Linked DNA regions of Tamandua tetradactyla. The protein of the gene in region 1 interacts with the protein of each later gene in a biochemical or structural test. Links are inferred from orthologs where the notes say so. Each region holds a gene or a part of one and is shown in the gene's direction. Other genes may lie near its edges.

Region 1 (7,342 bases):
TTTAAGCAAAAAAGTGATATGACTTGACTTTCATATTGAAATGATTATTCTCATCGCTGTTGTAGGAATAGACTTATAATGGGGCAAAGGTGGAAAAGGGGAGATAAAGTTTGCTTACTTATTTTTGAAAGTGAATATGCAGATAATCGCGGTAAATCCAAATGGTGTATAACTTGTTCGTCTTATACTGTTAATGCTGGTTAGTTGAGATTGTACCCTACAGAATCACAGGAGAACTGATAAAGTACAAATTTAGGGATCCCAAAAACAATTGAAGAGGAGTCAGCATTCCATATGCCAGAATCAAAGTTAAGTAGCATATCTGGGCAGAATACTAACTCCATATTCAAACTTCTGCACATCCCTACTAAGAATCCAAAGATGAATCAGGCAGTTTCCTGCCCCCAAGAAGCTTTCAGACATTGTTGAGGAAGATAAATAATAGCAGAGCAACCAGAGTGGTCAGTTCTAGGAAAGAGAAACAGTTTTGGAAAAGAAAAAGCAGAGGTATAGATAGCAATGATTGAGTTGAGTTTTTAAAGTTTTGTATGACAATTTACCAAAATATTGGGGTTAGCAAGTCAGAGATGAATGAAACACTCCTTTTGAGTGATTGTCATGTGACTGAAGAATGTGAATGGGGGTGTGGCAAATGAAGATGAAGAGATGAGTAGGGAACTTCCTTTAAAAGTAATTAGTCTTTGACCTGTACGCGTTTTAAGCAGGACATAATATGAGATACATATTTTGGAAAGACCATTGTGGTGATAATTTGAAGACTCATTTCAGTCAGTGGTTCTCAACCTTGTCTATGTATCATACACCTCTCAGAAAGTTTTTAAAACCCAGATTTCTGGGCCTTGCCTCAGCTTTACAGAATCAGAATTTAGATAGGTAGGCCCCAAGATTTTGATGTGTTGACAATTATGGTGCAGCTAAACCAGCATTTAGAAATATAGCATTAGTGACTATTTCAGTAGTTTGTTTTGTTTATGATTATATTACTAGTCCTTAGCACAGAGCACCCAATAAATGTTAGAGGGACAATAGTCTATTTTCTCTCATGATGTTTTATGAGGTGAGGAATCTTGGCAATTGGCTTATGACTAGGCAGATCTCCTGAGTAGGTATGCAGATTGATTTTACTTTTGGGATCCTCACCATACAAAGAATATCCAGTAAAAGAAGAGTGGCAATTAACAGTTGGCCTACTGGTATTTTAAATATTATCTTATCTGTGGAACATATGTAAAAAAATAATAATTCATAAAATAATTGAACAAAGCTGTTTAGAAATATCCAAAATGGTGAAGATTTACTATGCTAAAATAAGAAATTAAAAAGCAGTGGAAAAAAAGGATTATATTTTTAAAGCTTTTAGGTAACTGTTGAGGGAAAAAAAAATTTAGATTCCAACCTTACATTTCACCAAAATAAACTCCAGGTGGTTTAATGAACTAGACAGAAGTAGAATAAGATATTTTTCAGATCTTTGGAAGAATATTAGAAGACATATCAATGGAAAAGATTAATTTGACTATCAATATTTTTAACTTGTGCAAGATAAAAGAGAAAACAGATTCCAGAAAAAATTAACATCTAATATGACAAATGGCTTATAATATGTGAAGAAATTATTTAGGTTTTTAGATCTTGAGGGATTACCTTTCAGTGTTATGCCACTATCACCAAATTCTGTAGGATAGGACCAGGCCTGCCCTTCCTGCTTATAAAACAATCTCAAAAATCACCTCGCCCAAGGATAATGTGCTGTCATATTATGTACATTAGTTCTAGGAATAGCTCTAGAACATTTTTAATATAAAATAAAATGCTTCAGCTTTTATTCACTAATTTTCTAATACAAGTTAGAAAAACTTTATAAAAGTGAGTATAATCAAAACCAGGATGTTGCTGTGATTACCATACAGCTGTTGAGCAAATGAAACAAACAAGACTGAATTAAAATGTTCAGATGGCTGCTCTGTACAAATTTAAAATAAAGTTTAATGGGAGTATGAGAGGTAGATTGAATTGCCATCCTCTTATCCTCTCCCCACAGTGGTTGGCAATACCCATTAAACATTGCCTTTCTTTGAAGAGATGCTGGACAGCAGAACAGAGAACATGGCTATTACAGGTACCTGTCAATTAGGACTTCGGATTTACAAGGAGATTCCAGGAAAGAGCATGGCCACGAGTCCATCAAATCCTAAATTCCACAGCCAACACCTATAACTTCTTTATGTCCTTGGAAATGTGAAGTGACAAATTTTAAACTTCATAATAAAGAGCAAGACTTATGAATACTTATCTTGGGAATTAGAATGGGTTTCTGGGAGACAGCATAGTGTAGTGTTAATAGCATGAGGTCTTTGGTGCCAAACTGCTTAAATTAGAATAAAGGTTCTGAACACCATTTATTAACTCTAACCTTGAATAACATATATAACATAATGATAACAGTATTTACATCACAGGGCTATTTTAAGGATTAAGTTAACATGAAAATGTTTAGAATACTACCTTGTACATAGCAAGCAACAAGTAGAAGTCTTTGCATTTAAAGCTTTAAGCAAAATGCCTATTAAAGAGTGAACTTGAAAATTTCCTTGGATTTTCTTCAGGCCTGAGGCTAACCAGTACTGTTTAACAACAAGATATAATTTTCACCTATCAGCTTGGTAAAAAATTTTAAAAGAAAAAAAGGTCCATGATCTATAATCTGCTGAGTGCATAGGAAAATGGATGTACATGTTCATGGATTTGCAGAGACACAAGTAGGTACAAACCTTTTTGGAGAGCTAAATGGCATAATTTTTGAATCAAGCATTTCACTTCACAGCATTTATCCTGTAGAAATACTGACACAGTGAAAAAAAAAATTGTACCTTCAAAGCCAGAAAGTTTTTTTCCTCTAAATAAAGAGAATTGAGGGATTTAAAAAAAAAATTATGCCTTAATTGATCAGAAATACATCCAGTCATCTGCTAGCATTTTTTTCCTGCTAACATTTTGAATAAAGTCAGAGATTTACAATCAGGATGAATAAAGTCAGAGATTTACAATCAGGAATGCTGTCAAGCTTTCTGTATATCATAAGTAGACCACAATGACTTGAAATGTCTGCAATTATTTTGTGTTCTTGTTTAGCTATAAAAGAATAGTATACATTCTCTGTAAAATGACTACTGCTTATGAACTTTGCATACAAGATGCTTAATAAGACAGTGGCTCAAAATAGTTTTTCCTATACAAAGTAATTTCAAGATGTAATTGTTACTTTCTTGCTATAGTGCTGTTTTAGTTTCCTTGTTGCTAAAGCAAATAGTGGGATTTATTGACTCCTGGTTTTGAGGCTAAATAAGAGAAGGCTAAATAAAGGCATGTATCATCAAGGTGATGCTTTCTTTCCAAAGACTACATTCTGGGGCTGGCTGCTGGTGATCCTTTGTCACATTAGCAGTGCACGTGGTGGCCTCTCCTGGCCTCTTCCTTCTCTTCTGGGTTCCACTGACTTTCAGTTTCTTGCTTCCCATGATAACCTCATCAAAAGGTCCTACTTAGAATGGGTTCACACTCACTGGAATGGATTAAGTTTACGAACATGTTTTTCTGGTGTGCATACCTCCAAACCCCACCACAAGTACTATATGTTAAATAATAAAAAAAAAATAAATATGTGAAAACTGCAGCACCACAAAGATTCAGTTCTGAAACAGTCATAGAAATGGTTAAGCAAACTATTCAAAAGAGAATTTGGGGTGCATGGGTGGTTCAGTGGTAGAATGCTTGCCTTGCATGTGGGAGACCCAGGTTCAATTCCTGGACAATGAAATAAAAAAGAAAGATTTTGTGTATATTCTTAGCTGATTTGCCCTCTAGTACACTGTGAAATAGCACCTATGCAGACAATTTCGGTAGATTTGTACTTAAAAACAACATAGATGCAATTGATAATTTAGAGTAATACAGTGGCCTTATTTGCATGCTGAAAATCTGCTTGTTTCCTTCTGGTCCACACAACGTTTGTTCCATCTAAGTAGTAGTAAGTAAGCAAATAGCACAGAATTCTTCTCTATGGGTGCTGTAACCCATGGTCTAATAGAAGTAACTTATGTACTTCTGTGGGAGCAAGAGTGATAAACTGGACTGTTCAGATGTAAAAACTCCTAAGAACTTTGGATGCTAAGTTTTAAGCTTAGAAATGTTTAGAATACCACCTTGTACATAGTACACATGTGGAGATTATTAGATAAAAGTTCTTTATTAAACCTTTATTACATGTTCTTTGAATGCTGTAATCTAAAGATTGTTTATGTAATAATGAACATAATGATTTTCATCACCTTCTACGTCTAATTTAGGTTTATCGACTCTTGAAATATCAGATTACTTGTTTCTTGAGGTTTATTTTACTTCCAGAATTCATGTTTACACTCAGATGCTTGTTCTCATAGTCTGCCCTGACTTATATATTGTCCTTTGATGTTTTATGCAACATCATTTCTCTAATAGGGCAATCATTGCTATCTTTAAGGTTCTGGAGAAGGCAAGTATTTCAGAAGGTATGGAGATTTTCTACCACCATGGTTAGCTTAATCAGATATCCTTTAAAAACATGGCAAGTAATATAAAGATACAATTTTTTCTCCAAGTATTTCATTTGGGTAATCATTTGTGGAAGATTGGTTGTGTTGTTCAGAAAAAGAGGGGGTAATAAATGTGATTAAAGTGGCTGATAACATTCTTTTTTATTTTTATTTTTTTGCTGATAATATTCTTAACACCTGAATTAATTGTGGCATTTGAACCTAATATTCAGGTTTATCATCAGTCATTGATCACCATTCTTTTTTGGTGGTTTTGCTTGAACTACATAGGAATCTGTTTGCCACAGCCACTATTGCTTATCACCCATGACTGGGAGGAGGTGGGGATAAAATAGCAACAGCATCCACTAGGGCCAAAAATAGACTGCTGGCTCAAAACCCAGGGTGAATGCCCCAAAGTGAAGAGATTGTCCATTTTAGATCGCATGGTCTGGGGACTTTTCAAACTCTTTCTAGCAACAGAAACCACTCTTCTCTTCCCCCATTGAATATTGTGCAGAATCCTTATTTATGCCTAAGATAGATAAAAGCTCTATTTTATTATTATACACTTTAAAGTTCAAATTTAAAATATTTACTTAAAGTCAATCGATGGGGCAATTCTAATGCACATTAAAATATTATTACAGATTGTTGACATTCTTGTGCTTTCATAGTAGCATAGGCATCTAATTTATCTGTAGTTTTTTAAATTGTACATCATTGAGAAAATCATGATTCACATATATAAGTAGTTACAAATGGTAATGGTTTTATAGCACACCTTAAATCGCAAGATACTCAAGTTAAACTGATCTAGATACTTAAACTGAAATTTTTACATCAGTGTTATTAACAATATGTAACAAGTGTTCACATTCCTTATAAAAGTATAAAAATATAAGCACACAAAGAATAAATGCTAAGATTATATTGTGATTAGTGTCACAATACAACCATTAGGTATTTACTTGTTGTAATATAAGATAACATGAGCATACACTGAAAGCCTGCCTGTTTATTCGAGTGTGTCGTTCCTACGATTGAACCTTGGTAGCTTTGCAAAAGATCATCTGGAGGGAGGAGAGACTTGAGGTGGAGACCAATTATGTACTTCATTCATAGGATGGGAGGAGAATTAAGTGAAATTATGCAGGCAGAGTCCTTAACATACTGTTACGTGCTTAGTAAATGGTACCGGCTGCTTTCAATTTAATAAATTGGCTTAAATAATGGGATTGAGTTGAGGGGTCACAGGAGAGCAGCTGAGTATTTGAGATTGAAGAAATGTTTTCCATTAAGATAAGCATAGTGGAGGAAGAGGAAAGACTTTGGAGTTAAAAAGGCCTGGGTTCAAATCCCTTCTGGTATGTGACTGTGCGAATGCCAAATAAATTCCAGATGAGCCCCAATTTGCTCATATGTAAAAGAGGGATAATATTTAACCTATAGAGCTAGGCACGTAGTAGGTTCTAATCAACAGTTCCTGTTAAGGAAGAATCTAAGTATCATGCCACAACCTTTTCCCCTTCCTTTCGTATACCTGTATTTACTTGGTAGACTGTTGTGCCAGTAATAGATAAGGTGCTGCTGCTTAGTAGACAACCTGAAAACAGTAGTTTATTATAACTGTTAATAAAAATTCCTGTAGCTTATAGTGAGTATTGTTCTTGTGGTAGTGTAGAGGGTGTGTGGGAGTCAAGAAACTGAGCAGATCAGTTTGTTGCTGTAACTGATATGCTTAGCAACTCTTGTGTTCAAGTCATTATGTACAACTGTAGATTGTTCCTCTAGACTTACTCGGGGTTCTGTATTTTGAAACTGCTTATCAGTGGCTATGAAGGTACAGTTTTTGACTAAAATAAAAACTTCCTCTACAATTTGACATGTCAGGGAGGTAACATCTGCTTGAAAAGATTTAAAGCTTGATCATGAACTTCTTGTGTGAGTTCCTTATGTCTGCAGTACTTCAAACATTTGTATAGCTGTGTAAAAGAACATTCATCTGGTAGACAAGTCTCTAGTTACATGGCATCTTCTAATCCAGCTATGGTAACAGAAGAATATAAAAAGTTTTATTCAAACTAAGCCAAACTAACTTACATAAACTTTCCCTTTCAACTTTTCTCTTCTTTTTTGGTTAAGTAGGATTAGTTCTGAACGCAGAAAAGAAAAATCTAGAGATGCAGCCAGATCTCGGCGAAGTAAAGAGTCGGAAGTTTTTTATGAGCTTGCTCATCAGTTGCCTCTTCCCCATAATGTGAGCTCGCATCTTGATAAGGCTTCTGTGATGAGGCTCACCATCAGTTATTTGCGTGTGAGGAAACTTCTGGATGCTGGTGAGTTTTTTAAGAATTTAATAGGCTGAAAATTAGAACTAGAAATTGTTTAGAAGTTGTCAAAATATTTTGTTTTTTGTATACCCCATTATGTTATAACATACTTGAAAAATTTTTCAATAATCGTATTTTATGAAGTTTGCTTTTCTAATCAGTATAGTTAGAAATAATCTCTTTATATTGTAAGTTTTGCTCTATTCCCTTAAAAACACTCTTAGTTCTTCTTTAATATGATATATTTTTTATTACCTGTCTTTAAAGCTTCATTCAGGAATTTTTAAACTACTAGCTTTTTTCTTTTTCATTTTCTTCAGTCTCAGTTACCTACCTGTTTTCTTTTTAATAACGTGACCCTTTCTCTTTTCAGTGGTTTGCCTTGTTGCATTACTTTAAATAATCCTGAAAAGCAGT
Region 2 (7,331 bases), on another chromosome or scaffold:
GGCCTGGCCACTTCTCCATGGTTTCTGGGTCTCTGTCGCATCCAGGGGCCTTGCAGCCTCTTCCCGCCACTTGACAGAAGGTGGTCGCGGGAAGAGCGGTGGGGAACCAGCAACCCCCCCGCCCCCAGCTCAAAGGACTACAGGACTAGCGGGGGAAAGGAGGGAGGGGGTCCCTGGTGTGGAGCAGAAGCCTGGAAGGAGAGGGAAAGCAAACTGCAAAGGGCGTTTCGCTAATAGTCATGCTGTTTCCATTCTCCGCCATGTGTTTTTCATTCTGGTTTGGGTTACTTTTGACTCAAATTATGGAACTTTGTCTTTTGATGAAGGTAACTTAGATGGAATTAATTTTATACAGCCAAAATGAACATTGATTTTTCTCTGGTGGAGCCCAGGATAGTGACGGGACAAAGGCCATGGATTCTTTTGTCCGATGAGCTCAATAACCACTTCCTGAGACCCCAGGGTTTCAAAGAGAGAAAGAGTTTATTACGAGGCACGTAGTAGGTGAGCAGATGGCTTAGAGGCCCCAAATCTGTCTCCCCAAAATGCAGTAATTTTGATCGTTTTGCTAGAGAAAAGATGAACCGAGTTTAGGGTGATGAGCTCAGAGACCCCTGATGATGTAATTAGAGGGGATCTGATATCTGAGCGTGCGCGGTTTGACTACATGCTTAGTTACTGAACATGTGTCAGTAAATGGTAAAATGAAGTCTAGGTGAGTTGTAGGTTAAAGTCTAAGCTACTGCGCATGTCAGATGGGCCCACTTTGATTAGATCCAGTCTCCGTTATCAAGATAACTTTGGACTTGGGGTGGGTTAGTTCCGGGCTGACCCAAGACCCTTTATTAATAAATATTAGGAGCTGTCTTTAGCAGTTACAAGACTCTAAAGTTGAAAAACTGGATAACTGGGTACAAATGAAGGCTAGTCACAAGGTTTTTACAATCACAGGGGCAGAAGATAAGGGCTATGCAGTCATTATCAGAGATCAAGGCAGCTGGATTACAATTTAGAGATTTCAAGGATTTCCCACTATCTACTCCTATATACCAAAAAGTAAAAAGGAATATCTATAGAATGATTCAGTAATCAAAACCATCCCTTAAACCCCGATTTCTCGGTTACAGAATGATGATAGGAAGTGACTAGAAAAGAAAGCACGTTTCTTTTCAGAAAGCTTCCCTCTTCCTTACACGAGAAGAGAACCTATTTTTCCGAGACCCCAGAGCGCTTTGATAAATTCAAATGGTCAAACAAGGCATCCTCTACTGAAAGACAGCCTGTGATGATAAAATGGTGTGGCCTTTAGAATGCAGAAGAGAAAGCAAATACCTCATAATCAAAAAGGTAAGACATAAAGATAAACACTCTCCTACCACGGAAATGGGGGGGCCCTTGTCTGACAATGTCGTGTGAAAACAGCCAGCACTGTCTCTCTAACGGCTAAACATGCTGTTAGGAGTAAAACTCTGTCCACTGAGGTCCCGAGCAAGTCATTTCTTTGCACTTCTGTCTCTTCTCTAAAATGCAGACAATTATACTTGGAAAGGGCATGTTCAGGTTTATGAAACACGCTTTTGAAATCAAATTTCTCCCAAGCAACCATGAAAGTTGAGCCACAGCTTCCAGCCTTTTCCAAAGCTGCACTTTGCCTGCGTCGGAGACATTTTTGCTCCGTGGAATTTCATGCTGTCCAGGTATCGCCGACTGCCTCTCTTCTGTGGCAAAATGCGGAAGATTCTTCATTCCTCTGCGGCAAAGCGCAGAGAGGGGAAGGGAGGAGCTGAGCCGGGATGTGCGGCTTGATGCCCCGTGTAAGTCAGACCCCGTAAAACACCCTCAACCGGTTCTGAGCCTTAATCATCCTACAAATGGACCTTGTGGTTTCCCCTCGGCATCTGGGCGGCACTGAAAGGCAAGAAGCAGGAGAGAAAACTGGTGTTGACACGGACCGTTGAGCTATACTCTGGCTTCATCTTTATCCGAGGGACACAGTGTCTGTTGGATAAAAAAAGTTAGAATGAAAAAGAGTCATTCTGTGATCATTTAGGTATCTTTACCAAAGCAGCCCTCAGCATAACCCAGATCAAGCCTTTCTCAGTCAATGAGTAAAAATAATAATAATAATAATAAAGAAGATCCAAAAATCAACCTAAAGTTGTAATTTGGTGGCAGTTAGGATTTAATTCCATAGAGATTTCTTTCATCTATGGCATTTTGCTTTCAAAGAGAAGTCATATGTGTCAGGCCAAAAAATGAGCAGGAAAATTTATTTTCGTATTTGTTTTAGATTGAATCATGTTCCCCGCAAAGACATGAGTCCTAACCCCTGGTCCTGTGTATGTGAAACCTTTTGTGAACGGAATCTCCAAAGTTCCTATTAAGACGAGGCTGAAGTGAAAGGGGATGGACCTTATTCCTCCATGACTCGAGTCCCTATAAGCAAAGGAAATTCGGGCACAGAAGTAAAGCCACATAAGGAGCCCGAAGGAGACGATGGCCGTGTGATGGTGGCCCCTGCAGGACACCATAGGCTTCAGAAAAAGCATGGTCTGCTGGCACCCAGCCTTTGAAAAGCGAGAGACCATCAGCTCCCATTGTGGAAGCCAGCCAGCCCGCGGGACCCGTGACAGCAGGCCTGACACACGAAAGCGGTGGTCCTGCTATTTCTAAGCTGCTAGTGTTTTGCTTTGCAGATGACTCTCATCGAGCCCTATAATGCCGTAATGAAAAAGTAAATTAAACCATAGGGAAAATGTAGATCAAAAAGGAACATGTACCCGTCTGGCCACCACAATTTTGGTTCCAAAGTAGCTTCCCATCTGCCTGAGCCGGGACGTGCCCGTTGCCGGGGTGGTCTGGGCCGCCCTCACCTGGGGCCCCGGTGGGCAGGTGCCTGCACCTGGGGACGCTGTGTTGGTCCCAGCTCGCGGGGTTCGGGCTGCTAGTCGTCCTCACTCGTGGAACCAACCTCTTAAAAACCTAAAGTCACGACTATGCACAAATCAGCAAGGCTTTAAGCCCTCAAACAGCTGTTTCTTACTATTGCTTTTCCCTTCGGATCAGCATCCCGACCCAGAGCTCTGCTGGGCAAGGCATTGGGTGGGGGGGCTGGCAGGTGTGGGGTGGGGTGCGGGGGGTGCGGCTCCCCTGATGCATCCCCAAGGCTGTCCCCCTGACTTGCTGCTACTCACAACTACAGAAAGCCGCAGGAGGCAAAGTGCTGATGGGACAAAAAAACAACGGAACAAGAAGGCACGATTGAATGCTCGTATAAATATAGAACTAGCATGGTGAGAAGACAGAAACAGCTTTCCTAGTAAATGGAAGAAACTATTTTCTTCTTTTTCTCCGGCGGGGATAGGCTTTGTGATCTCTGCCCCATGCTCTGCCTCGAGCTGGGGAGATTCCACGACACAAGACGGGGTTGCTGCAGAACTGAGAATGGGGCAATTAGGAGGGGAGGGAGATGTCCCACTACCCCCAAGAATAGAGTTTACTTTCTTCACCTCGGGCTCTCTGTACGGTGGTTGGAACGTCACCCAACAGCCAACAGCAGGAGACCCAGCATTCCGACCTCTGGCCTCCTCGAGCCCTCTTGGCCCAGGGCCCCAAATGAGCAAAGCCCTGAGTCACTAGACAAATCACATTTGCAAGGACCCTGTCCCAGGTGCCCCTCGGGGAGCTGGCCATGCTTTGAGGCCACTGGCAAGTTGTGGACATGGGGTAAGGAATTTTTCATCTTATTCCCTCTTGAGATTTTGTTTCTCAAGAGAGGCCCAGATGGGATGGAGTCTAAGCGTGACTCTCCTTCCCCCTGGGAGCTGACCCATGTAGACCATGGGGATGTGGGCCACCATGAGTGCTTGGAGCCCTGGGAGCTGGGCTGCGCCCCCTTTTCTCCTCACCCTCACCCTTCAACTTCCTCCTCAGCCACCCCCCTCACCTGCTCATGTGTCAGATTCTTCCTCTTGTTGCTATTTAGACCATTGTGAATAATTTCCACCTCATTAGTCTTACTAGGGGTGTCCAGTGCCTCATGTCTCAGGAACAGGCAACTGAGTTCTCCAGTCACCTCTCCTCTTGGGGCCTCTAACTCACCCCAATGGACACTCACCTCTCACCCACCTTCTGTTGCTGGGTGAGGCCAAGCTGTGTGGTCTTCTACGGATCTGTGTGTCTGCCTTTCTGAACACAGGAAAGCATACTTTATAGACTGGTGTATATTAAACAAAAGAAATGAAATACCCATATTCATCTATACCAAATTACTATACAAAAAGATACTTTCTAGACATAAGGCCTTAAAGGAGGAACAGAGCACAATCTGTCTGTACCAACCTCATCTGTAATTATTTCCATACAAATGTCAAGTGCAGAACTGAAGTTGTTCGCTTTATTTGACTAGAGTGTTTAGATAGTGGTACCTGGTTTTATAGACTTATTCTCTTGACAGCTGAAGCTGCGACCTACTCATGGGATTAAATTGCTCTTTTGGTTTGTTGGGGTGGTTGTCATTTAACCCCATTGGTCTCTGTGGCTCATTTGCAACAAGAAGGAGGTAAGCGGTGTCTCTTGGGAGGAGGTCTCCCTGCAGTCCTGGACTTTGGTCTGGTGGCCACTGCCATGTCAACCACATCTGTCAGCCCTGGAGGCCAAGGATTCTGCTCACTCATCCAGGAACATCTCCTGCTGAGCCTCCAGCAGGCTTCCACAGCCACTTAAGAGACCCTGAGTCATCAATGAGAGTAGGCTTGGGGCACTAGCTACACAAACCATGAGTATCGCTCTTTCCCACTTACCCTCAGAATTAAATATCCCACCCGCACTGCTTGCTGGGCTGCTATGACAAATAGCACACAATGGGATGGCTTAACAACAGGAATTTATTGACTCACAGTTTTGAGGCTGGAAGTCCCAAATCAAGGCATAGGCAGGGCAATGCTCTCTCACCAAAACCTGTCGTGGCCTAGAGTCAGCTTGCTGTAATATTTGGGGCTCCTCGGCTTGCTTCTCTGCCTCCCACAGTGGGCTGAGCTCCCTTGGGTGGGCTCCTCTGGTTTCCACTGACTTCTGGCTTCCTGCTCCTCAGATTTTCTTCCAGTAGCTTTCGCCAACTCTCAACTTCTAGTGCTTCTCTTTCTAAAGCCAGATCTAAGAAAGAAGACCCCACCTCATTCAGTCGGGCCAGACCCTTAACTGAAAAGAGCACCTTCAAGAGTTCCTATCTACAATGGGCTCACACCCATGGAAATATGGATGAGGATTAAGAACATGTCTACGTTGGGGTTCGTAATTCAATCCACCATACTTCTATTACAACAAAATATAACCTCCTCCAGCGTACATGTGGTTTAATCCAGTGGTTCTCCAATTGTGGTCCTTGGGTCCCTAGGAATCCCTGAATCTCATTCTAGGGTTGTGTGAGGTCAGATCTATTTTATTAAGGATAGTAAGCTCTTACTGGACTATTTCACTGTATTCACATTTATTATAGACATAAAAGCAGTGGTGGGAAAAACTGCTTGTGCCTTAGCTAGAATGAAAGCAGTGGCAGCAAACTCGATTAGAAGCCATAACATTCCCCACCCCAAGCACTAGCAAGAAAAACAAAAATCCAGTTTCATTTAAGAAACTGACCTTAATGAAGTGGTAAAACTTACTAATTTTATTAAATCTGGACCCTTGAACATGCATCTTTTAAATATTTTGAGTGACCAAAGAGAAGATGCATGAAGCACTTCTGCGCATATCAAAGCACCAAGGTCATCTTGAGTACAAGTCCATGTGTGAGCATGAATTGAACTAGATGCTTTTTCTGTTTTTACCGGAAAGAACAATTGACAAGCTATGATTATTCAGATTTTGGTTGCAGATATTTTCTCAAAAATGAACAGAGTCAGCCTGTCAATTTAAGGAAAACAACTGAAAGTATATGTTGCCAAAGATAAAATTTGAGCTTTGAGATGAAAATTAGCATTTTGGAAAACTTAGATCAGTCACAGTGATCTTCCCAATACTTCTAGGTTTTTCTGAGAAGATGGGTGGAGATAGTAAAGATTGTGATTTTTTTTTAATAAGAGAAGTTGCAGGTTTACAGAAAAATCATGCAGAAAACACAGAGTTCCCATATACCCTATAACCCCTTGCATTACTGTGGCACCTTTTTCACAATTGATGAAAGGATATTATTATAAATGTTCTAGTAAAAATAGTCCATAATTTACATTAGGGTTCACTGTGTACAGTTCTATGTTTTTTTTTAAAGCGTTGTTCTGGTAACTTATTTGCACATTTAAATATATAATTCTGTGGTGCTAATACATTCACAATGCTGCACAGCTGCCACCGTTATCCATTGCCAAAACTTTTCCATCACCTCAAACAGAAATTCTGTACCAGTTAAGCAGGAATTCCCCTTTATCTACCCCCACCACAGTCCCTGCAAACTGTATTCTACTTTCTAACTCTATGAATTTGTTTATTCTGATTAATTCATATCAGTGAGATCAAATAATATGTGTCTTTTTGTGGCTGGCTTATTTGACCCAACATGGTGACTTCAAGGTCCATCTGTGTTGTCACATGTATCAGACCTTTGTTCCTTTTCATGGCCAAATAATATTCCATTATATGTATAGACCACATTTTGTTCATCCATTCATCTGTTGATGGATACTAAGGTTGCTTCCATCTTTTGGTAATTGTGAATAGTGCCACTGTGAACTTTGGTGTGCAAATGCCTGTTCAAGTCCCTACTTTAATTATTTGGGGTATATATGTAGGAACGGGATTGCTAGGACATATGGTAATTCTACACCTAACTTTCTGAGGAACCAGCAGACTGTTTTCCATAGTGACTGCACCACTTTATAGTCCCACAAACAATGAGCAAGTCTTCCTGTTTCTCCACATCCTCTCCGATACTTGTTCTTTTTTTCTTTTTTTAATAGCAGCCATTCTAGTGGGTGACAAACGGCGTCTCATAGTGGTTTTGATTTGCATTTATCTAATAACTAATGATGTGGAGCCTCTTTTCCTGTGTTTTTGGGCCATTTGTTTATCTACTTTGGAGAAATGTCTATTCAGTCTTTTACTCATTTTTTAATTGGGTTGTTTGTCTTTTTCGTTGTTGAGTTGTGATTTTTTGACGTTGTGTAATTAAATGTGTTCACATTTCATAAATCTACACAATGAGTAGTTTCTAAATATTACAAAATAATGCACAATTTAAATAATGCACAATTTAAAGTTCAAGGTAGACCAAATGTGTTTTAATGTAACTGGACATAAAAATGTACTGATGTAGTTTCAAATTCCACATTGCAACT
Region 3 (7,794 bases), on another chromosome or scaffold:
AGATAAAAGAAGTGAAAGCAATCTCCAGAATAAACTAATTAAGGTAATTAAATGCCTAGACACCAGCAAAAAATAACAAATCACACTAGGAAAATTGAAGAAAGGGCCCAGCCAAAGGAACAAACCAACAATTCAAATGACATACAGGAACTGACACAATTAATTCAGAATGTACGAACAGACATGGAAAACCTCATCAAAAACCAAATCAATGAATTGAGGGAGGATATAAAGAAGGCAAGGAAAGAACAAAAAGAAGAAACTGAAAGTCTGAAAAAACAAATCACAGAACTTATGGGAATGAAAGACACAGTAGAAGAGATGAAAAAAACAATGGAAACCTACAATGGTAGATTTCAAGAGACAGAACATAGGATTTCAAAACTGGAGGACGGAACATCTGAAATCCGACAAGAAACAGAAACTATAGGGAAAAAAAAAAGGAAAAATATGATCAGGGACTCAGGGAATTGAAAGACAATATGAAGCTCATGAATATATGTGTTGTGGGTATCCCAGAAGGAGAAGGGAAGGGAAAAGGAGGAGAAAAACTAATGGAGTAAATTATCACTGAAAATTTCCCAACTCTTATGAAAGACTTAAAATTACAGATCCAAGAAGGGCAGCGTACCCCAAAGAGAATAGATCCAAATAGACATATTCCAAGACATTTACTAATCAGAATGTCAGAGGTCAAAGAGAAAGAGAGGATCTTGAAAGCAGCAAGAGAAAAGCAATCCATCACATTCAAGGGAAGCCCAATAAGACTATGCACAGATTTCTCAACAGAAACCATGGAGGTGAGAAGACAGTGGGATAATATATTTAAATTATTAAAAGATAAAAACTGCCAACCAAGAATTCTATATCCAGCAAAACTGTTCTTCAAAAATGAGGGAGAAATTAAAACATTTTCAGACAAAAAACCACTGAGAGAATTTGTGACCAAGAGACCAGCTCTGCAAGAAATACTAAAGGGAACACTAGAGACAGATATGAAGACAGAAGAGAGAGGCATGGAGAAGAGTGTAGAAATGAAGACTATGAGTAAAAGTAAAAAGAAGGAAAATTAGATATGACATATAAAATCCAGAAGGCAAAATAGTAGAAGAAAGTACTACCCATGCAGTAATAACACTGAATATTAATGGTTAAACTCTCCAATCAAAAGACACACTCTGGCAGAATGGATTAAAAAACAGGACCCATCTATATGCTGTCTCTACTCAAAGGACACAAGGCCAAGGACACAAATGGACATTTACACACCAATATTTATAGCAAAATTATTAACAATTACCAAGAGATGGAAACAGCCAAAATGTCCATCAACAGACAGTTGACTAAACAAACTGTGACATTTACATAAGATGGAATATTATGCAGCTGTACGACAAAATAAAGTTATGAAGTATGTAACAACATGAATGGACCTTAAGGACATTATGCTGAGTGTGATTAGCCAGAAACGAAAGGACAAATACTGTATGGTCTCACTGATATGAACTGACATTAGTGAATAAACTTGGAATATTTCCTTGGTAACAGAGACCATCAGGAGATAGAAATAGGGTGAGATATTGGGTAATTGGAGCTGAAGGAATACAGATTGTGCAACAGGACTGAATATAAAAACTCAGAAATGGACAGCACAATACTACCTAACTGTAATGTAATTATGTTAAAACACTGAATGAAGCTGCATGTGAGAATGACAGAGGGAGGAGGGCTGGGGACATAAATAAAATCAGAAAGAAAGATAGATGTTAAAGATCGAGATGATATAATCTTAGGAATGCCTAGAGTGTATAATAATAGTGAAATGTACAATGTACAAATTTTAAAAATGTTTTTGCATGAGGAAGAACAAAGGAACGTCACTATTGCAGGGTGCTGAAAACAGATGATAATACTTAAAAATATCACCTTATGTGTGAGACTAAAGCAAAAAATGTTTGTTACAAAATTTATATTTCGACTAGAGCATTTCCTAATATAACTCGTGTAGATAGTTTGATTGAATGTCATAAGTACTTGGAATCTCAGGTAGGACATGAGATTTCGTTGGTTTGTCCAGAGTGATGCCCCGATGAATCCCAGAGTGATTTGATCAGTGACTGGAAATGTATTTGCAAGCCCCCTTCGGGGAATGGTGAGAGTGGGGAGAAATTCAACTTCCCCAAGTTGAATTCTTGATATTCTCACAAGCAGTGTGGACAACCAAAGCCATAGGCTGAGCCCCCAGTCTTGGGGTGTGTTCATATGAAACTTAACCCCACAAAGGATAGGTCAAGTCTGCTTAAAATTTAGGCCTAAGAGTCACCCCCAAGAGAGCCTCTTTTGTTGCTCAGATGTGGTCTCTCTCTCCAGCCAACATGACGAGCAGTCTCACCACCCTCCCCCTCTCTGCATGGGACATGACTCCCAGAGGTGTGGACCTTCCTGGCAACGTGGGACAGAGATCCTGGAATGACCTGAGACTCAGCATCAAGGGACTGGGAAAACCCTAGAATAAGCTGAGAATTAACATCAAGGGATTGAGAGAACCTTCTCGACCAAAGGGGGAAGAATGAAATGAGACTAAGTGTCAATGGCTGAGAGATTCCAAACAGAGTTGAGAGGTTATCCTGGAGGTTATTCTTATTCATTAAGTAGATATCACCTTGTTGTTCAAGACGTAGCGGAGAGGCAGGAGGGAACTGCCTGAAAATGTAGAGCTGTGTTCCAGTAGCCATGTTTCTTGATGATGATTGAACAATGATATAGTTTTCACAATGAGACTCTGTGAATGTGAAAACCTTGTGTCTGATGCCCCTTTTAGCTACTATAGCAACAGAAGAGTAGAACATATGGAATAAAAATAAATAATAGGGGGAACAAATGTTAAAACAAATTTAGTTTGAAATGCTAGTGGTAAATGAAAGCGAGGGGTAAGGGGTATGGTATGTATAATTTTTTTTCTCTGTTATCGTTTTATTTCTTTTTCTGTTGTCTTTTTATTTCTTTTTCCAGATCGATGCAAATGTTCTAAGAAATGATGAACATGCAACTATATGATGATATTAAGAATTACCGATTGTATATGTAGAATGGAATGATATCTTAATGTTTTGTTTAATTTTTTTAATTAATAAAAAAAGTTAAAAAATAAATAAAAATAAAAAAGGGACTCTCTCCAAAATGTTTCCTTTTTAAAGGATTCCAATGAACTAATCAAGACCCACCTGGAATAAGTACAGTCACAACTCCATGGAAGCCATCTAATCAAAAGTTACTACCCACAATTGGGAGGGTCACAGCTCCATGGAAACAATCAAAACGCTCTCACCCAGCAATACTGAATGAGAATTAAAGGACATGGCTTTTCTGGGGTCCACCACAGATTCAAACCAGCACAGGCCTCCTCCATTGTGAATCCCAAACACTGCCGCCATGAACCCCAGGGTACGATGTCCATTCCTGTACCCACACTCAGTTCCTCCAGGTATATATTGAGCAATAGCATTGAAGGATCATATGGCAACCCCACCCCTAGCCTCCTGTGGAACCACCAGTTATATTCCTTTGTTAAACCCTATCTTCTCTGTTATAATTCCTCCTTCTCCTTTGATCTTTCTTCCAGTCTTTAAGGGTATTTGGGCTAAGCCCATTCTAACTTTTTCATGTTGGAAAAGGCTGTCAATAATATGGGACATGGGGATAGAACTAGTCGATGTTCTGGAGAGGCTAGGCTCTCTGATTTCAGGACTTATCTGGCGTAGGAACCAGGAGGGTGTAGGTTTCTGGAAAGTAATCTCAGTTAGAGCCCTAGGTGTTCTTTAGGGTAAACAGGAATGGTTTTGGTTTGGGTTTGGCATACCATGGCAATTAGCTATATCTAGCAGAAATTTGCATAAGAGTAGTGTTCGGAATAGCCTCTTAACTCTATTTCAACACTCTTAGTCACTGATATTTTATTTTGTTACATTTCTTGTCCCCCTTTTGGTCAGGAAGGCATTGCTGATCCCATGTGCTAGGGCCAGGCTCATCCCTAGGAGTCATGTCCCACCTTGTCAGGGAGACTCACCCCTGGATGTCATGCCCCACATAGAGGAGAGGGTAATGAGTTTACTCACAGAGTTTAGGAGATGTATTTTTTTTTAAGTTGTTTTATTCACACACCATACAAGCTAACCAACATGGGCAATCAATGGCTCACAGTATACTTTCAGAGTTGTACGTTCGTCAACACAATTTTGGAGCATTTTCATTACTGCTAAAAAGGAAAAAAAAATCCATGCCCTTTTGAGACCCCTATGATTGACACTTAGCTTCAGTGTGGTACCTTTCTCACAACTCATGGAAGAATCGTAATTACTGCTAACTATAGCGCATAATTTGCATCGGGTGTATTTTTTCCGTTTATGCCACCCTATTCTTAACTCTTTGTAACAGTGACTTTCTTATTCATGGAAAAACATTCTTCTATTTATATCATTAATCAAGTCATCGTCCACAACTGTGTGTTTTACAATCCCATGTTTAGGGTCATGTGTGGCACTACAAGGAAACCTAGAGGATGAAACAAGAGGAGCCCTTTCAAACCCTTAGTCGCGTTAGCTTCAGAAACTACTTGTACGGCTCTGTCAAATTATGGAGGGAACCATGATGCCCTGTGCTCTAAATGGCGCCGCCATCTTTGACGGAAGTGACTCGCGGGAGCCGCCATTTTGGCCGGGCGGGAGGTTATTTCCGGTTCCGGTGGCGCGGTGCTCTTCCTTTTTCACGGCGGGGCAGTGGCTGTCTCGGTTGTGGTTCTCGGCTCTCCGGACCATCCGGTGCCATCCTCGTCGCTGCGGCGACCTCGACACCCGCCGCCGCCATGACTGAGCAGATGACTCTCCGTGGCACCCTGAAGGGCCACAACGGCTGGGTGACCCAGATCGCTACTACTCCGCAGTTCCCGGACATGATCCTGTCAGCTTCGCGAGGTACGAGCTGAGGTGCGGGGGCCGGGTGGGGACGGCGTTCGCTCGCGGCGGACCCAGGGCCCCACTCCGTCCGGTGTAACTCCGCGCGCCGCCCGCGTTTTGCAGAGGGGGACGTGACTCGGCCCTTGGCCTGCGGGAGCATTGGCGGGGGTGGGGGGTGTCCCATTTCCTGTCCCTCGGGGCCCGGGCGGAGCGGTGATGATCCCAACATGCCATCTGAGCGCCCGTGCTGAGACCCAGAGGCTGTTTCTGAGCTGCCGCCGGGCCCTGCTAGGGAGGGGTGGGCTCACAGGGGCCTCGTGCCCGTCCGCCCTGCCCTTTGCCCCCTCGGCCCTCCTTGGCTTTTGCCCTCCCTGTGGGCCCGCAGCGTCGGGGGCTTCCCGTGCCTTCTGAGAGCGCCCAGGTGGTTAGGAGGCAGCTGGGACTCGACCTGCTGCTGGTGCTTAGTGGTGAGCCTTAGTGCCGGGCACGCGCGTGCAGGAAAGCCTGCGGGCTGGCAGCGCCCGAGCAGCATTTCCAGCGGTTGCAGAAAGGTCCACAAGTCGTTAGAGCTCAGACCAGATAGGAGATAAATGTCTTAATGGGTTCGGGTCCCAGAAAAGGACATCCGTCGTCGCATTCGGAGTTCTGTACACCTGACGGAATCTCATGCACAGCTTGGCCTTACTCTGGGTTAGTGAACTTGTCTTGGCTTGCGGACTCCCTTCCCCCTCACCTGACTCTAATTTGTCATTTTGTGAGCCCTCTGTGACCTTGAGATGTCCGGGTTAGCCCGTAGGTCAGTGAGGAGGCTGGAGACCGGCAGGATGGCGAGGATTGAGGCGGCTGAGTGTCCATTTCGGTTTTCTCTCTAGACAAGACCATCATCATGTGGAAGCTGACCAGAGACGAGACCAACTATGGTATTCCCCAGCGTGCTCTGCGGGGTCACTCTCACTTTGTCAGTGATGTGGTCATCTCCTCGGATGGCCAGTTTGCCCTCTCAGGCTCCTGGGATGGAACCCTGCGCCTCTGGGATCTCACAACGCAAGTAGCTGCTCACTTAGACCTGGGGCCTTGGGGAAGAGCTGGGCAAAGTGAAGTAGAGGTGGTAGGGAGAAGTGGGTAGAGTAAAGGAGGTCATGTCGGGGTTACTCACCTGAGTCTTGCTGGGGAGCGGTCTGAGTATCTTGGCCTGGCACCTCGGTGTGGTTGGGCACGTGGCAGGGGTCATGGAGGACCCTGGTGATGACAGACGACATTGTCCACCTATCCCCATGGGGCATGAGGACATGTCCTGCAATTCTGAGGGGGTTCTCTCGCATAGACTCAGCCAGGGACTTGTGGTCGGGACTGTGTGTGGCATTGGGGGGTAATTCACCACTGAGACAGGACATGACGAAACTGTGGAGAGACCGTTTGCAGGCTCTGCTTAGAGAGTGACCATGTCCTCCCTCCCAGGGGCACCACCACACGCCGGTTTGTAGGCCACACTAAGGATGTGCTGAGTGTGGCTTTCTCCTCTGACAACCGGCAGATTGTCTCTGGCTCCCGAGACAAGACCATCAAGCTGTGGAACACTTTGGGAGTCTGCAAGTACACAGTCCAGGTAAAGCAGAGGCATTGGTCGGGAGCCTGGTGCAGGTGTTGGAGCTCCTCCTCTTCCATTTCTCCTTGTCTTATGCCAGGAGCCTAAAAGTTCTGGGGAGGAGGATATAAGGCTGCCGACACCCACCCCACACGGCTGAGGGAAGGCTGGGGCAGTTAGAATTTTATGTCATGGGATGGTTTCCCTTTGCTTCCTTTCCATCTGTAGGATGAGAGCCACTCAGAGTGGGTGTCTTGTGTCCGCTTCTCGCCCAACAGCAGCAACCCCATCATCGTTTCCTGCGGCTGGGACAAGCTGGTCAAGGTGCGCTTGGGGCCAGGGGACAGGTGGGTGTGGGCTCCAGCTCTGAATACTTTGTAGGTTCCTTTAATTGACTTTTTTTCCTTTGGCTGTTGTTTTTCCAATTCCGGCCATAAATTTCTGGTATTAATAGCAAGAGGGGAAAAGTATGGAGTAGTTTGAGCCCAGAGCCTTTGTAAGACTCCACACAGCATTTAGTAACTGTTTTAAAACCCAGTTGTCTTTAAGTGGCCAAGAGAAATTCTTCAACCTCTTTTTACTGATAAATGATGGTCATTCCTCCCAGGAATGTTTTCAAATAAGGTATCATGTTAGGCCCCAAGCCGGCTTCCTCACCTGTGGGTCCTCTGCCCCTCTTTTTAGGTATGGAACCTGGCTAACTGTAAGCTGAAGACCAACCATATTGGCCACACGGGCTACCTGAACACTGTCACTGTCTCTCCAGATGGATCCCTCTGTGCTTCTGGAGGCAAGGTATTCAGGAGCCAGGGGCCTCCTACTCTTAAAGTGGGGGGTGGGGGAGGCTGAACATGCCTTTCGCAGGGGACACTTTGAGGCGTTTGCTTACAGGAAGCTTGGGAAAGGGGGTAGGGGGGCTTAAGAGTTGATTAGGACAAAACATTGGGAAATGGAGTTGATTTCCGGGAACAGTCACAGTGACCCAGTGGTGTCTTCCAGGATGGCCAGGCCATGCTGTGGGACCTAAACGAAGGCAAGCACCTCTACACGCTGGACGGCGGGGATATCATCAATGCCCTCTGCTTCAGCCCCAACCGCTACTGGCTCTGTGCTGCCACGGGCCCCAGCATCAAGATCTGGGTGAGTGTGAATACAGTTCAGACTGAGTGCCTGGCTGTACTTTGGAAGTCCTGCCAGTGTGATGGTTACACACATGGTAATATACCATCTTACCACATGCTGAGATTTGTCAATCTC

What was found. The genes of interacting proteins can lie anywhere in the genome.
Region 2: the proteins of HIF1A (region 1) and FHL2 form a complex in vitro, tested with the Homo sapiens proteins (2 studies listed by BioGRID). The link is inferred for Tamandua tetradactyla from reciprocal best matches to the Homo sapiens genes HIF1A and FHL2.
Region 3: the proteins of HIF1A (region 1) and RACK1 form a complex in vitro, tested with the Homo sapiens proteins (2 studies listed by BioGRID). The link is inferred for Tamandua tetradactyla from reciprocal best matches to the Homo sapiens genes HIF1A and RACK1.

Annotation. Positions count from the first base shown.
Region 1 is NC_135338.1:3,074,140-3,081,481, reverse strand, and holds the start of HIF1A (hypoxia-inducible factor 1-alpha), read left to right. Parts: upstream 1-4,336; 5' UTR 4,337-5,700; coding exon 5,701-5,786; intron 5,787-6,737; coding exon of another isoform or gene 6,738-6,740; coding exon 6,741-6,931; intron 6,932-7,342.
Region 2 is NC_135343.1:70,098,386-70,105,716, reverse strand, and holds the start of FHL2 (four and a half LIM domains protein 2), read left to right. Parts: upstream 1-4,282; 5' UTR 4,283-5,247; coding exon 5,248-5,288; intron 5,289-7,331. UniProt on the Homo sapiens protein: May function as a molecular transmitter linking various signaling pathways to transcriptional regulation. Negatively regulates the transcriptional repressor E4F1 and may function in cell growth.
Region 3 is NC_135346.1:3,339,074-3,346,867, reverse strand, and holds the start of RACK1 (small ribosomal subunit protein RACK1), read left to right. Parts: upstream 1-4,745; 5' UTR 4,746-4,861; coding exon 4,862-4,970; intron 4,971-5,159; exon of another isoform or gene 5,160-5,227; intron 5,228-5,824; coding exon 5,825-5,996; intron 5,997-6,187; exon of another isoform or gene 6,188-6,265; intron 6,266-6,410; coding exon 6,411-6,558; intron 6,559-6,765; coding exon 6,766-6,861; intron 6,862-7,221; coding exon 7,222-7,332; intron 7,333-7,536; coding exon 7,537-7,677; intron 7,678-7,794. UniProt on the Homo sapiens protein: Scaffolding protein involved in the recruitment, assembly and/or regulation of a variety of signaling molecules. Interacts with a wide variety of proteins and plays a role in many cellular processes.